Linked DNA regions of Drosophila melanogaster. The gene in region 4 interacts genetically with the main gene of each other region. Each region holds a gene or a part of one and is shown on either strand. Other genes may lie near its edges. The genes, in order: Adck1, p38b, Sdhaf3 and Sod2.

What was found.
Region 1: of Sod2 (region 4) and Adck1, changing one suppresses a phenotype caused by changing the other (phenotypic suppression), as found in Drosophila melanogaster (one study listed by BioGRID).
Region 2: of Sod2 (region 4) and p38b, changing one suppresses a phenotype caused by changing the other (phenotypic suppression), as found in Drosophila melanogaster (one study listed by BioGRID).
Region 3: of Sod2 (region 4) and Sdhaf3, changing one suppresses a phenotype caused by changing the other (phenotypic suppression), as found in Drosophila melanogaster (one study listed by BioGRID).

The regions. Positions count from the first base shown.
Region 1 is NT_033778.4:24,609,655-24,614,413, forward strand, and holds Adck1 (aarF domain containing kinase 1), read left to right. Parts: upstream 1-2,048; 5' UTR 2,049-2,168; exon of another isoform or gene 2,169-2,190; intron 2,191-2,227; exon of another isoform or gene 2,228-2,512; 5' UTR 2,513-2,520; coding exon 2,521-3,633; intron 3,634-3,696; coding exon 3,697-3,792; intron 3,793-3,853; coding exon 3,854-4,201; 3' UTR 4,202-4,252; downstream 4,253-4,759. Other genes in the region: CG42360 (uncharacterized protein), read left to right, coding at 1-301, 362-583, 643-847; CG4741 (uncharacterized protein), read right to left, coding at 1,306-1,628, 4,260-4,317, 4,379-4,621. UniProt on the Drosophila melanogaster protein: Essential for maintaining mitochondrial cristae formation and mitochondrial function by acting via YME1L to regulate the mitochondrial structural proteins Opa1 and Mitofilin. This function is likely to be kinase-independent.
Region 2 is NT_033779.5:13,779,013-13,783,142, reverse strand, and holds p38b (p38b MAP kinase), read right to left. Parts: upstream 2,455-4,130; 5' UTR 2,379-2,454; intron 2,277-2,378; 5' UTR 2,144-2,276; coding exon 1,046-2,143; 3' UTR 534-1,045; downstream 1-533. Other genes in the region: CG16890 (uncharacterized protein), read left to right, coding at 1-146, 198-533; CG9008 (uncharacterized protein), read left to right, coding at 3,411-3,498.
Region 3 is NT_033777.3:16,481,334-16,484,405, forward strand, and holds Sdhaf3 (succinate dehydrogenase assembly factor 3), read right to left. Parts: upstream 1,120-3,072; 5' UTR 1,029-1,119; coding exon 947-1,028; intron 881-946; coding exon 771-880; intron 715-770; coding exon 544-714; 3' UTR 528-543; downstream 1-527. Other genes in the region: Dhfr (dihydrofolate reductase), read left to right, coding at 1-7, 58-526; Der-2 (Derlin-2), read right to left, coding at 1,696-1,873, 1,930-2,450, 2,535-2,621. UniProt on the Drosophila melanogaster protein: Plays an essential role in the assembly of succinate dehydrogenase (SDH), an enzyme complex (also referred to as respiratory complex II) that is a component of both the tricarboxylic acid (TCA) cycle and the mitochondrial electron transport chain, and which couples the oxidation of succinate to fumarate with the reduction of ubiquinone (coenzyme Q) to ubiquinol.
Region 4 is NT_033778.4:16,772,231-16,775,743, forward strand, and holds Sod2 (superoxide dismutase 2 (Mn)), read right to left. Parts: upstream 1,686-3,513; 5' UTR 1,560-1,685; coding exon 1,525-1,559; intron 1,409-1,524; coding exon 790-1,408; 3' UTR 555-789; downstream 1-554. Other genes in the region: Arp53D (Actin-related protein 53D), read left to right, coding at 2,032-2,119, 2,173-3,320. UniProt on the Drosophila melanogaster protein: Destroys superoxide anion radicals which are normally produced within the cells and which are toxic to biological systems.

The DNA.
Region 1 (4,759 bases), 7.8 Mb from region 4:
TTGACAGCAACGACTCTGTTATATATATTGAAGACACTACCGGAGAAGATTTCATCCCGATACCATCGTACTCGCCGCCGTTTCGGGAAGGAGAGAAGCAGAGAAGGGCTAGGCCTGCGAAAACGCCCAATAAGAAGACTGCTCGAATGAATGACAGCTTCTTCACCACTGAAGAAAAGAAGAAGCTCGGAGACTATAACACCAACACATTTAATCCCACGGAGGAAGCAGGAGAGGCGAGTAATAAGCCGAAAACGAATAAGAGGTTTGTTATCATCGATGGTAGCAATGTCGCCTTTGCGTAAGTTCTCTGCTTAAAGCTAACTCTAGACGGACTATTTATTTCATTTTCATTTGACAGTCATGGCAACTCAAACGTGTTTTCATCAGAGGGAATAAAGTATTGCTTGCAGTATTTTGAGAAAATGGGTCACGAAGTTAAGGCTGTGGTTCCAATGTTCCGGAAAAACAACTTCAAGTCTTCGAATCCCGAGCTTCTCGATAAGCTGCACAAGGAAGGGAAGATTGTGTTTACGCCGTGCAAAAACATTCCCGGTCAAATTACGTCTAGCTACGATGATCGGTGAGCTCCTTAGAAAAAACTTCTATTTAGAAATGGAAATGCATAATTTTTTTTTTCAGTTTCATTTTGCAGCTGGCATACGAAAAGAATGCCGCCGTGGTTTCCAACGACAACTACAGAGACCTGATTAATGAAAATCCTGCATTTAAATTGATCGTTGAGAATCGAGTTCTTGGTTACTCCTGGTGCGACAACATATTCATTTTACCCAAGGATCCTTACGGCCGCTGGGGACCTACCCTCGACGAAATTTTGAGGTGCTAATGCACCTAGCCATATATTTGTTTTCAAATTATTCTTTAGTTTCGTGTTATATCTTAAGTTAGTAGTTTTCATTTAGTTTGGTTGCGAATTATTCAACTTTCTTTTCCTTTACAATTAGCGTTAAGTTGGTCAATACTGAAGAGTTAATACGCAGCGTTTACTCATTTTATTAGCATATAGCATATAGTTTTCGACCAGAAGGGTTTTCATATGCCTACTATTTTAAAAATCTTGCAAAATTACGAAGTTCATTATTTACATATAATTTTCGACCAGAAAAATTTTTTAATATGCACTATACGTTTATTTATTTATTTACTCCAATGGGGTTTATAAGTTATGCAAAATTAAAGAGTTGCCGAGGAGCAAGATTTATTTACAAAGGCAAAGCTGTACAGTGTCTTGTTTAGTGTATAAATAATAATAGATTTACTATTTCTCAGAAGTCCAATGCTTTGTTACACCACTGGTGGTTGGCCGTTGACCAAAAATACGGTGGTGGTGGTGGAAGTGGTGGTTGTGGCCACGTTCGCCTCGTAAACCGGCGGTGGTTCGTTAATTCCAACCGCCAAATTGGGATTGCTCGCTTCCAAGCTGGTGGCTATGGTCAGTGTGCTGTCCTGCTTTCGCTCGCTAAAAGCGGCCTCGTCGTAGCTGGGCGGCAAATCCAAGGTCTTGGGCAGGACACTAACTTCGTTCTGGCTGTTTGAGCACACGTTTCCGACTCCTCCGGAGCCGCCGTTGCAATTGTTCGTCACATTGATCTCCATTTGGCGACGGGCTGCGAAAAAAGAGATTTAAATCGTAGTGGACAAGGAAACCTCAGAGAATCTCTTTAAAAACGGAAGTTAGCAACTATATCTTTTAAATATACGTCTAAATCGCTGCGTTCTGTTAACCGATACCTGCTAATATTGGTATTCCTTTATATATAGCGTAACATGTTCTGTTAACCGTTAAATGTTACCCGCTTTTAAAGCAGAAAAAGCAACCAGCCTTCCACAGGGGGGTCGGGTCTCACTAATGACTTTCAACATACTGTTCGAGTCGTTCTTTATTTTAAACGACATTTATAATAACGTTTTTCATGCTGATTAAAAAGCCGTTATATTATGGTAAGAGCACTCAACCCCCTTATGCCAAAACAACTACGCCCTTGAGCTCTGCTATTGGGTCAGCTGCTCTGACGCCAGGCCAACAGCTGATTGCGCCAACTAAGGCCACCACAGAAGTGGAAGCGCATCAATTTAATCACAGACTTTGGAATTTCAACACCTACGCGCCGTTGAACTCCGGCGCTATCTGTAGTGCACCATATCGAGTAAGTGAAACTATTGGCAGTCATTCCGAGCGAGCCGCGACTCACCTTCAGTCAGTTGTGTTTACATAATGGCGCAGACGAAATTACTGAGGTGAAAGTTTAGCTACATGTGAGCGCTGGAAAATGTAAATGGGAAAAATGTAAATGAAAATGCTGGCGGAGATGCAACAGGTTAAGTGGGCTGTATTCGCCAAAAATCAGTTAGCGGAGGGCAAAGTTCAAAGTGCCTCAGTGCCTTGGTTCCGCGTAAAACTACGCGCTTAATTTAGGTGAAAGCCCAAAGGTTAATCGGCATTGACACCTGTTGTTTTTGCACACCGGACTAAACGCTCTTCATTTTGCAGCCGGAGGAATGCTGTTGCGTCGCGTTCTGGGCTACGGAGTAGTCGGCGCCGGACTGGCCTCCGCCGGCTGGAGCCTGCACACCAACGACTACGATCCCAACTCACTCGGAATCGTCCGGCTGTCGCGATCCGCCGCCGCCGTCGTGGACGTGGCACTCACCTACAAGCGGGAACTTTACTACAAGGAATGGGATAAGGAGACGCCCGAGTACAAGGCGGAAAAGAGCCGGGTCCACAAGATAGCCGCCGAGAAGCTACTTCAGCTGATCTGCATAAACAAGGGTGTCTACATCAAGGTGGGCCAGCACATAGGGGCCTTGGAGTACCTGCTACCCAAGGAGTTTGTGCAGACCATGAAGGTACTTCACTCCGATGCGCCGCAAAACCCCATTGAGGACCTGTATAAGGTAATCCGACAGGATCTGCACTGCAATCCGGAAGAAATCTTCGACAGCTTCGAGAGGGAGCCGCTGGGAACTGCTTCCCTTGCCCAGGTACATAAGGCGCGCCTCAAGACCGGCGAGCTGGTGGCCGTGAAGGTGCAACATCCCTACGTTAAGGGTAACTCCCGCGTTGACATGAAGACCATGGAACTGGCCGTTAATGTGCTGGCTCGGATATTTCCCGACTTCAAGATCCACTGGCTGGTTGAGGAGTCTAAAAAGAACTTGCCAATCGAACTCGATTTCCTAAACGAGGGACGTAACGCCGAGAAAGTAGCCAAGCAGTTCAAGAAGTACTCGTGGCTTCGGGTGCCCAAGATATACTGGAAATATAGCTCTTCTCGAGTCCTAGTCATGGAGTACCTGGAGGGTGGGCATGTCACGGACTTGGACTACATACGGCGAAACAAAATTGACTCATTTGCGGTGGCCAATCGCATTGGGCAGCTCTACTCCGAGATGATCTTCCGCACCGGTTTCGTGCACAGCGATCCGCATCCAGGAAACATCTTGGTAAGACGCACGCCGGAAAACAGTCTGGAGATAGTTCTGCTGGATCACGGGCTGTATGCAAATCTGACGGACAAGTTTCGGTACGATTATTCCAATCTCTGGCTGAGTATCCTTAAGGTGGACCGCAAAGCGATGCGACAACACAGTGAGCAGCTGGGAATTAAGGTATTTTCGCTTGGGAGGTGGATTTGAACCTAAACCTTCTAACCTTCTAAACCTTCAATCCAGGGCGATCTGTACGGTCTTTTCGCATGCATGGTGACGGGACGACCTTGGGAGACGGTGATGCAGGGCCTGACCAAAGTCAAATATTCCAAAGAAGAGGTAAGTTCGTGCCGGAAATTCTTCTCTTCAATTACTCGTAGTATATGCTTTGATTCTGCAGAAGAACACGCTGCAAAACAACACGTCCCTGGTGCTGCCGCACATTTCCGACGTATTGGAGCAGGTGGACCGTCAGATGCTGCTCATTCTGAAGACAAATGACTTGATCCGCGGAATTGAGTCCACGCTGCGCACGCAGAACCGGATGACCGCCTTCTGGGTTATGTCCAAGTGCTGTGTTCAATCTTCGTACGCTGAACAGCGAGCCAAGCAGTCTGATTCCGGATCCTCGCGAATCCTGTGGCTGCGGGTGCGCGAGCGATGGGAGCTTTTCAAGCTCAACTGCTACTACCTCTACCTGGGACTGATTAATTTTGGTTTCCTTGAAGCTCTCAAGCAGGTTATTTAGACTAAACGGTGTCCCCCAATTAAAAGTACAAAACTCTTCACGAGGAAAGGGAAATTACCTCGTTGTCTCTGCTGGGCCAGATTCCGCACATTGGTCTCTCGCTTGCGTTTGGCGCTCTTCGGGGAGAGAGTGAATCATTAGCAGGAGCAGGTAGTGTCCCATTCCGAATGGGCTTACCATAATCATGGCCAGAGGAAAGGCGATGACGAAGAGGAAGACCAGCACAATGTAAATGACATAGCTGGGATAAAATAACATGTATGGACCATCGTAGCCGCCACCGTTGATCCAAATTGTGACGGAAGTGGTGTTAACGTATTCCCAATCCGATGTCGTACTTTCAGTGGTGTTAAGTGTTCCGTTGGCCACCGTGGTGGAGTCAAAAGGGGTGCTGACCGTCGCGTTTATGGCAGGGGCCATGTTGAACTCGGGTGTTAATTCCTGATTGGAACTGAAAAATGTCTCGAAGACAGCAGTTCTCTGACGAACAGACAGAGCCGACTAACCTGAACTACTGGCCACCGAATTGATAGGACATCCGGGCATGGGTCAGACTCG
Region 2 (4,130 bases), on a different chromosome or scaffold from region 4:
GCTGGCGAACGGAGCAGGAGGTGGTCACCGGAACCGGGCAGTTCCAGTGCGGCAGCCGGCATTGCGGGGAGCGGGATAATCTGCGCAGCTGGGAGGTAAACTTTAGGTATATCGAAAAGGGTGAGCCCCTAAATGCGCTGGTCAAGGTGGGTTCCAAATGGGTTTCCGCGATTGTGTCACTAATGGGAATTCCATAGGTGCGGCTGTGTCCCACCCACACGGATCAGCTGAACTACCGCACCAAGAAGAGAGAATGCAAGAAGCGGAGACGCAGGGAAAAGGAGGAACGGCGCGCTGAAAAGAAACGTAAGCGTCGAAAACTCGATGTTGGTCACGAAAGTTCTGGCGAAGAGGAGGAGGAGCCTGTCGAACCAGCATCCGAATCCCATCCAGAAGCCAGCAAGGAGCCCACAGACTCAAAGGATGCCACCACGGCAGACGAACAGATCTGGCAACAACAACCCGATATAAGCCGAGAGCAAGCCTCCAGAGAGCAGGAATTCGAGCGATATCTAGAGGATCTCATTTTTTAAAATACATAGCACATTTATTTGGATTCAACGTAGACACTAGTGCTCTTTTTTATAGTTACTGGCCGCTAGATGCGTTCGCTTACGAACTACGATGTACATGTACACTCACATTTACAGGATTATTCACAAGAACTGCGTGTTAAAACCGACACCAAATCTAAAGTTGAACTGGACATTAAGGCTGTGACTCTGATTGATTTTTGGAAACATTTCCGAATGGCTACATTTCAGGCATGCACCTAGTTCAATCGCTATTTCTATATCCATCGAATGCAAATCGAAGGTTCGAAAATACAATACTATTTCACCTTACGTTTGTGGTCAAAACAAATTGTTGAAATCCAGCCACTGAAGAGTTTCTAAATATAAATCGCTCTAGAATAAATATCCCCGATTGTTTACACTCGACGAGTAGAGAAATCACGACTGAGCGCATCCGCTTGAACTAGGTGTAGAAAAGACTGTTCTAATTGTATATAGCATCATTGAACGGAGAGGGATGGCGGCCGGGATTACTGCTCTTTGGGCAGGAGCTCAGCGAAGGCGGCTGTGGGCTTGAAGGCCGTCACCTCGCTGAAGACCATCTCCCGCCACTTCTCCACCGGCAGCTCGTTCTCCTCGAAGCTCTGGTCGTAGAGCGCGGCGGTCTGCTCATCGGTTGGATCGTGGTACTTCTCCATGTACGGATGGGCCAGCGCCTGCTCGGCGGTTATGCGCTTGTCGGCGTCAAGTTCCAGCATCTTCTCCAGCAAATCGATGGCCAGCGGATTGGCACCGCGGAAGATGTCGCGGAAATTGCGGCGCGGCATCACCGGCAGTGAACGAATATAGTTTCTAGCGCTCTCCGAGGAGATGCGGCTCATGAACTCATCAGCTGGCGTGCCCAGCACTTCCATGATGAGGTTCAGCTGATGGATGTGATCGGTTCCAGGGAACAGCGTGCGCCCAGTCAGCAGCTCAGCCATGATGCAGCCCACCGACCAGATGTCCGCCGTCTGGTTGTAGTGCATCCAGTTGAGCATGATCTCAGGCGCCCGGTACCATCGCGTTGCGACGTATCCGGTCATCTCGCTTTCTGCGGGACGGGCCAAACCGAAATCCAGGATGCGAAGCTCACAGTCCTCGTTTACCGCAATGTTCGATGGCTTTAGATCACGATGGATGACCCCAGCGCTGTGGATGTACTTCAGACCGCGCAGGATTTGGTAGACCAGAAACTGGACATGATCATCAGACAGTTTCTGCGTGCGTATTATGTTGTTCAGATCGGCGTCCATCAAGTGGGTCACCATGTACACTTGCTGGAACTGATCCAGCGAATCGGCGGGCTGTCCTGGATGAAAGACATCCAGCAGACCAATAACGTTCTCGTGATCCATGTGCTTCAGCAGCCGCAGTTCCCGATAGGTGCGCTTCGCATGGACCGCCGACTGGAAGGGCCTGGCAAGCTTCTTGATGGCCACCTTCGTGCTGGTTCCGCGGACCACGGCCTTGCAGACCTGGCCGTAGGCACCCTGACCCACGGGTTGCAGGTTCTGGTATGTTTCCGGGATTTCCCACTCGGTGCGATTGATGTCCAGCTTGTAGAATTTGGCCATTTTGCGCGACATTTCGTTGGGATGTTCTGTACGCTCAGGTGCGGTGCTATAATGTTATTAATCCGCTGGCTCTTTTTTTGGGCAGTTCTTCTTCTTGCTTGTGGGATTAGTTATCTCTGTTCCACACTTCGCGGCCTCAACATTGCTGGAAATGAGTAATCGTACCGGGTATTACGGGAAAACGTAGCTAATTTCGGGTATTCCTGCCCAGATTCATTTGTATCTGCACAAATAAGTTGCAACTTACATCTCTCGGATTTTATTTATGCTATTCCGCTGCGCCTACACCTTTTCTGATTGGACAACAACGCTGTCTTGGCTATCGATAACCGCAAATGGGTCCGATTTCCAATCAGCTGCTGCTCGTTTATGCGTTAACATGGTTGGCTTTAGGGTGTCCCCTACAAAAATCAGAGTCCATCGAGGCAGCGGATCAATTCACAAAGCTTCTGCGCAGTTTGGTTGACAGAGTACATGATCGTCACAAACAATAATAATAATTAGATTTTTATATGCAATTTTGATTAAAGTTTTTAAGATTATATTACAATTTAAATACTTTCAATATTATTTGGAGAGTTCTATGTATGTATTCTTTATTATCACACCTTTGAGAATAAGAAATATTTAAATTAAAAATGCATTAATTAAAGCAAAAAATGAACTTATATGAAACCATAAACTCGTGAATAATGTGGTAATATCATCCACTTCAGTAAATACTTAGTTATACGTTAAAAATATAATTTTAAGGTAGAGTACTCCCTCGTCGACCATGGACATAAAGCTAATTTTAAAGCTTAACATGGGCCGGTAACAGAAGGCGGTCAGTTGGCGCAAGCTGGTTTAGTTTCAATCGGTCGCTCGTTGGCAGAACATCGAAGGTCCGGGTCGTGACGCTTTTCGCCCGAACGTTTTTTGCACGAGTTTTTTCCATACGTATTTGTTCATTGACAAAAACTCAAGCTGCGCTCTGTGCGTGCGTGTGTATGTGTGTGTGCGAGTGAGTGTGTGTGTGCTGGCGCGTCTGTGTGAGTGCGGTGCTTTGTGTGCAGAATAATTTTTGCAAACATTATGTAAATGCGCAAATTAAAGTTCAATCGACGCCCGTTTTGAGTACGAAACCAGATCGCCTTGCTTTAAGTGCCACGGAGCTACAGTTTCTTTTCGTACCCAATTTTTCAAAGATATACTCCCTCAGTAGGCAGGCACGCACACAAACATACACAGGATCTCAAACGATCCCCCGGATATACCTTTACCGTTAGGAAAATTCAAAATGGCCACGACAGCGGCCGCAATGGCCGCAACGAGTGTAGTTGTTCTGGATCGCGGAAACAATACAACCTGCACCATCAACTTGCACGGTGAGCAGAATGTCTTGAAACAATGATAAACAACAAATGAATAGCTGGCGAACAATTAATCATAATTAAGAAGACACCACCAGCACTTTGCCAAAATTTTGTTGGCGTTATTTTTAGCGGATGATTGGCGCTTAGACTCTTCCGAAACCGAAACCCGTTTCGCCCCCTATTCTCGATGTATTCGCGACCTCTGGAGGTTATCAATTCGTTCTGGAAATAACCTTGTTTTTACCTTTCGCTGTTCTACGCACCAGCCAGAGGGCCTTTGCTATCTTATCAGCCGAGATCGTCGCAATTTAGGCGCTATATGTACATATATGCCCCCACTCGATCCAATCGCTGGGGATCAGTTGGGTTTCGGTTTTGGAAAAGCTTAGAGCTTGGAGTTTGGATCTTGGAGATCGGATCGATGCGGCTCCTACTCGCAGCACATTTCGATTAGGCGTCATATATATGTATATGGTTCGTACATATATGTATACAGGTCCCTCTCTATGAGCACCTATGTACATATGTATGTATGTGAGCTGGCACTGGTGTACCCAGCGTACTTTCAACAATTACGACTGCCTGTGTCTGGGCTGCCCACGTTGCTTTCCAAGTCGCAGCCGTTTGAGCAACAGTCAGACGGC
Region 3 (3,072 bases), on a different chromosome or scaffold from region 4:
GCATTAAGTAAGTTGGTAACAAGGATTGAACCGCAGCTAAAGCTTTTGTACCATCAGATCTGAGCTGAAGTACTTCAGCCGCACCACCAAGCGAACAAGTGATCCCACCAAGCAAAATGCCGTGGTAATGGGCAGGAAAACCTACTTCGGAGTGCCGGAAAGCAAGAGGCCTCTTCCCGATCGGCTGAACATAGTGCTGAGCACCACACTTCAGGAAAGTGATCTGCCCAAGGGAGTACTATTGTGCCCCAATCTCGAGACGGCCATGAAGATCCTTGAGGAGCAGAACGAAGTGGAGAACATTTGGATTGTGGGCGGTAGTGGAGTCTACGAGGAGGCCATGGCCTCGCCAAGGTGTCACCGGCTGTACATTACCAAAATAATGCAGAAGTTCGATTGCGACACCTTTTTCCCCGCGATCCCTGACAGCTTTCGAGAGGTCGCGCCCGATTCCGACATGCCACTGGGTGTGCAGGAGGAGAATGGCATTAAATTCGAGTACAAGATTTTGGAGAAACACTCATAATAAAATAATACACTGATTTATTTGCCTTGCGCATCTTCTACTCCCTTGGCCGCCAGCATCAGCTCGTATAGTTGGACTACTTGGTCGTCTTTCAACATTTCTACAGTCTTGGGGTCAATCTCTTCGCCCAGCTCTCCCTTGGGCTTGCCCCGAATCCCTAGTTGTTGGGTGATTGTGGACGCATATCGCTGCAATGGAAGATTTGCTTAGTATGGCGCCTTTTTGTTTATTACGTAAAACTTACGGCCCACTCTGTCATAAAGAGCTGTGCCTCCATGGGATTGCACTTGAGGTGTCGCCGGAACTCGTCCCGCACATAGTTATCGCCCAGAGCACGAAGTTCCGCTGGAAGTCCTACGGAGTACAGAAGTTTAGTTGAAATGCATGCAATTTATAGTAATAGGGAATTTTTCATCTTACCTCTGTGCAGTCGCAAGATCGTTTTGTACAGCAGTCGGACCCTCTGAGGGTGGGTCAGTTGGCTCATCAAAATTCTGGACATCCTGAGTTCATATCATATAACATACTAATACTATACTATTTAGCAGCCGGCTAAAAACTAAATACGAGCGAATAACAACTGTTTTGTCGCAGCCAGTGTTGGCTAACGTCAAATTGAGTTGGCAGGTGGCAACGTATTAAAAGTTTGGCGCGCATTTGAATTGTCACCTTTAAAAGTTCAATGCTATTTTCATATTATATTTAAGTTAGGCACTTCGAATTGAACCACACTTCCGCAAACCAAATAATGTAAAAAGAAAATGTTTTTTTCAAATGGTTTTTTTTTATCAATCCCCAAGCGATTTCAAGCATTTTAAAACTGCAGGTCTTTTTATATAATGATTTATTTGTGGCATGGTTTGTATATATATAATCATCACATGTGCAGTGTAGGTTCAATCTGTCGTGGATTCATCCCTTGGGGGTAAATTATAAATAAAAGAACATCTCGTATGGAAAATGAGCTCTGTTTCAGAAAACAAACCAATAAATGACATACACACACGCTCTGCACCAACTTTGGCTAACTATTGCACGCCTTTCTCTCACTACTATACGCCTAATTACACCAAGCACCAAACAGAAGGTGGCGGAGGGTACACAACATTGTTGTCATCGTCGTCGTTTTGAACAGAAGAACGTTTTAACAATCAAGTTTTCTAGTTTTGCTATTGCGGCGCGGCAGCAACAGGCGCCGCTCGATTCGCTGGCTCCTCATCCTGTCCATCAGCCGCAATCTCTTCCGGTAGCAGGGGCTGACCCTCTCCGCCCCAAGGAAATCCGCCAGGTCGATCCTCAGCAGCCGCCTGGAAGTTGCGTTCGATGTGCTCATTGAAGAGACGTTTCCTAAGGACAACAAGTCGTTATTGCAAAAGTTATATCCCAATTCAAAGTAAACTCACAAAAAGTAGGGGGTTTTGATCAGTCTGTAGCCGTTGGACAGTGTAGGATAGACGTCCTCCAGCACGTAGTAGATGTGGCCAACACCCATGCCGATGACATCCACCCACACGGTGTTTCCCAGAATCATGGAGCAGCAGAGGAGCACCCACGGAAGGTACGGCGCCTGGAAGTTAAGCACCCCGAAGAAATTCATTGGCACCAGTGGATTGCGTCGTGACCACACATAGACCAGCATTAATGTGAAGGCCTGGCCCAGGAACAACAGGTTGACGAAGATTCCGAAGAAGGTCATTAGCACGCCGCCAAAGATGAACATCATGACAAAGTCGGAGCTGCGTCCGCGGAAAGATCCGTCCTCCAACATTCGACAATATCGATATGTAAACACCATATTGAAAAAGAAACTGATGCCTATTGTGCCAAAGTACAGGAATGTGGTGGCCAAGCGCCAGATCTGGAACTTGCGCACAATCAGCGTGGGATTGAAGTAGAGCTGCAGCGGCGACACCAGGTCCAGGTGCTTAAAAGTTGGCAAAAAATATAATCGAAGATAATACACGTACACGTCATCCGCGATTTAGAACGCACTACGGGATACACTTACCACCGCCAAGGTGGTCAGCACGCAGACCGTGGTGTAGGCTCGTGTGACCACCGGGATCTCCAGGTAGAACTGCCGCAGGGCATTCATGGCGGCTCCTCCTCCAACGTTGGACTCAAAGTGTGCAGCTTGGCAAGTGGGTTGCGATTGTATCCTTTGGACTCTTCGCTTCTTCACTGTTTATTCACCTACAACCAGCGGCGGACTATCTCTTTTTGGTAGTCCTCTCACCGGATGTTGTGCACTCCAGGATTGAGACGTGTTAATGGATAGGGAACAGCGCTCGGGCGATGGAAAATAAATGGAACGCTAGCTTTTATTTTTATGACCAAGGTTAGTGATGGTACAAATACTAGTGACACTGGCGCCAGATATCGATAAGCCGTAATCGTGACACGAAACTTTAAATTAATTTTATTTATGTGGTTAACAGAAGGAAGAACTTAAGATTGTGTCGTCTATCGAAGAGTAGTTCATCCAATATTTGAATGGAAATAATATTTATAATAACAGATAAGTTCAATATGATTTTCACTTTGAA
Region 4 (3,513 bases):
TTGTGTTTTCTTTGGTAACTTACTTACGTTTAGAAGTTTAGAAGTTAAATTCCTTGATGGGCGTCAACAGTTCTCCTCACACACTCACAATCACAGTTCTTTATTAAATTATTATTGCACTCAAGTGGTTTATTTTGTATGTTTTTCATTCGTCACCGCCCTCAGGAAATTAAATGATTTTCCTTTGTTTCGTACTGGTCTCTCGATTTCAAAACTCCGGGCGATTTTCGAGGATGGCCATTACGCGAACAGGCAACAAACGACTCTGCCAGCGGCTGGCCATTTGTTCCACCATTCGGATACGCGTGCTGGAAAATTGTTTGCAGCTGCGCGCACGCAAGTTCGGGAAAACTCGGTGGAAATGTCAATTTTCCTCCCCCGATTTCGCGGCAGGCTGACTTTTGTTTTGTTTTTGTTTGGCTCGCGCACAGCTGATTTGCTAGAGATGGCACCATGGGCGGCAGTGTTGTAAAACATTTACAGTATTTGCGATATTTTAATTTAATATAAAAATTAATTTTTTTGGAGCGTAATAAAATTGATAAAAATAAAAAATATGAATAGGTATATGTATATTTTTTAATTCCTCAATGAAGTAATAGTTTCAATACGCCTTTGTGAAGCGTTATCTTCGGAAATTATGTTTTAAATTGTTTTATTCCCATTCATAAAAATTATAAAAATTAGTTGCTAGCTGGTACCAATTTATTAGCCGCAACTTAGACTACAATTTAGGATCTCCGATCCGCAGATGCTTATAGATTAAACATACGCAATCGCCGGCTGTGCTTAGCAACCGAGCTTCTTGGCCTCCTGGAAGCGGCACGAGATGTCATCCCAGTTGGCGATGTCCCAGATGGCCTCCACGTAGGAGGGACGCACGTTCTTGTACTGCAGATAGTAGGCGTGCTCCCAGACATCGATGCCGAAGAGCGGGATCAGGCCGGTGGAGGCCTCCAGGGGATCCTGGTTGGGCAGGGCGGCCAGTTGCAGTTTGCCCGACTTCTTGTTGAAGCCCAGCCAGCCCCAGCCGGAGCCCTGGACCGCCACGGTCAGCGTGGTCAGCTCCTTTTTGAACTCCTCGAGGCTCTTCCACTGCGACTCGATGGCCTTCTTCAGATCATCGCTGGGCTGGGTCTTGTTGGGCGAGAGGTTCTGCCAGAAGATGGTGTGGTTGATGTGGCCACCGCCATTGAAACGCAGGGCAGGAGCCAGCTGAATCAGCTTGGTGGTGTCGCTCTTCGACTTGGCCTCCTCCAGCTGCTCCTCGGCGGCATTTAGATTGTTGACGTAGGTCTGGTGGTGCTTCTGGTGATGCAGCTCCATGATCTCCCGGCAGATGATAGGCTCCAGGGCGGCATAGTCGTAGGGCAGCTTCGGTAGGGTGTGCTTGCCACGCACCGCCAGGCTGCAAAGGGTTAAGTGTGTCTTGTTTTATAATGTCCTCAAGATCAGGGTCGCCATTTGTTGCTATTTATGTAATCAGCCGGCATCGATTTGGGCATACTTTTTTTCGCAACTTACCTTGCAGTTTGCGAAATTTTACGGGCCACGAACATATCTGCGTTTTATTCGACTGCTAATAAGGCTAAGTCCCGATATCAGATTTTATATCAAATAAAACAAGGCTTACGTTCTCGTTATTTCGCTTGTTCTATTTGAACAATTTACTGCTAGAGATGAGCAGATGAGAAAATATCGAAAGACCCCAATCAGTCAGTGATGTGAGATCAACTTATATATATTGAAGTTAAATAGTAAAACTAAAAGAAATTAAAAACTATTTTTAATTGAAACATTGCACTGAAACATATTCAAATCATATTGAGGATTTCTTAAATATTTCTTATGTTTAAATACTACTTTAGTGACTATTAGCATATTTTAGCTGCTTACGTATCGACTGCATCCATTCGATTGATACTTGAATTAATCGATTTTTGGCCTCTGTATGTCATGGCGCTAAATTGGAAATAAACCATGAAATTAACGTCATAAGTTTAAAAATCCGACTGGAACACAGCACACAACATGTCTACATTTCAAATACCTTCCCGAATCAAAATCGATATAACAAATAAACGGGCACAGAACATTCTTCACAAATATCTACATTTACGTAAGTTGCTTAAATAAGCTAAAGATTTTATGATTTGACCATGATTCGTTCAGCAACCTCTCCTGGAAACATGAGCAGCGAGGTAGATAGTAATTCACACCACGCCGCAGTGGTTATTGACAACGGCTCTGGAGTATGTAAGGCTGGATTCTCCCCAGAAGATACTCCCCGTGCTGTCTTCCCGTCGATTGTGGGCAGACCTCGTCACCTGAACGTCCTGCTGGATTCCGTGATCGGTGATAGTGTTATTGGCGAGGCGGCAGCCCGAAAAAGGGGAATACTAACCCTAAAGTATCCCATCGAGCACGGAATGGTCAAGAACTGGGATGAAATGGAGATGGTTTGGCAGCACACGTACGAGCTCTTGCGGGCGGATCCAATGGATTTGCCGGCTCTACTCACCGAAGCCCCACTGAATCCGAAGAAGAATAGAGAGAAGATGACAGAGATTATGTTCGAACACTTTCAGGTGCCAGCTTTTTATGTAGCAGTTCAGGCTGTGCTCTCACTTTACGCCACCGGGCGTACTGTGGGCATTGTGGTGGACTCGGGTGATGGTGTGACGCACACGGTACCGATCTACGAAGGATTTGCCCTGCCCCACGCCTGTGTACGAGTTGATCTGGCCGGCAGGGACCTCACCGATTATCTATGCAAGCTGCTTCTGGAGAGGGGCGTTACAATGGGCACCTCTGCTGAACGGGAAATCGTGCGTGAAATCAAGGAGAAACTCTGCTATGTGTCAATGAACTATGCCAAGGAAATGGATCTCCACGGAAAGGTGGAAACCTATGAGCTGCCAGATGGGCAGAAAATCGTTTTGGGCTGCGAGAGATTCCGCTGCCCGGAGGCTCTCTTCCAACCCAGTTTGCTGGGTCAGGAGGTGATGGGCATCCACGAGGCCACCCATCACTCGATAACCAACTGCGACATGGATCTGCGAAAGGATATGTATGCGAACATTGTTCTCTCTGGCGGTACGACCATGTTTCGTAACATCGAGCATAGATTCCTGCAAGACCTAACCGAAATGGCTCCACCATCCATCCGAATCAAGGTTAACGCTAGTCCAGACCGCAGATTCTCCGTTTGGACGGGTGGTTCCGTCTTGGCCTCACTCACGAGCTTCCAAAACATGTGGATCGACAGCTTGGAGTACGAAGAAGTTGGTTCCGCCATAGTCCATCGAAAGTGTTTTTAGTTAAGGAGGGTGTTCAAATATTCGTTATGAGCAATGATTATTATATATTTTCTATTTGCTAATGAATGTAATTTCTTAAACAAATCTAGTCGATATAAAATAAACAAAACTGGGGGTTACCTACACAAAAATTAGTTGCATTTGGGAAGCACAAGGCCCATGTAACGCCCTTCTAACAGCACAAATGCAACAC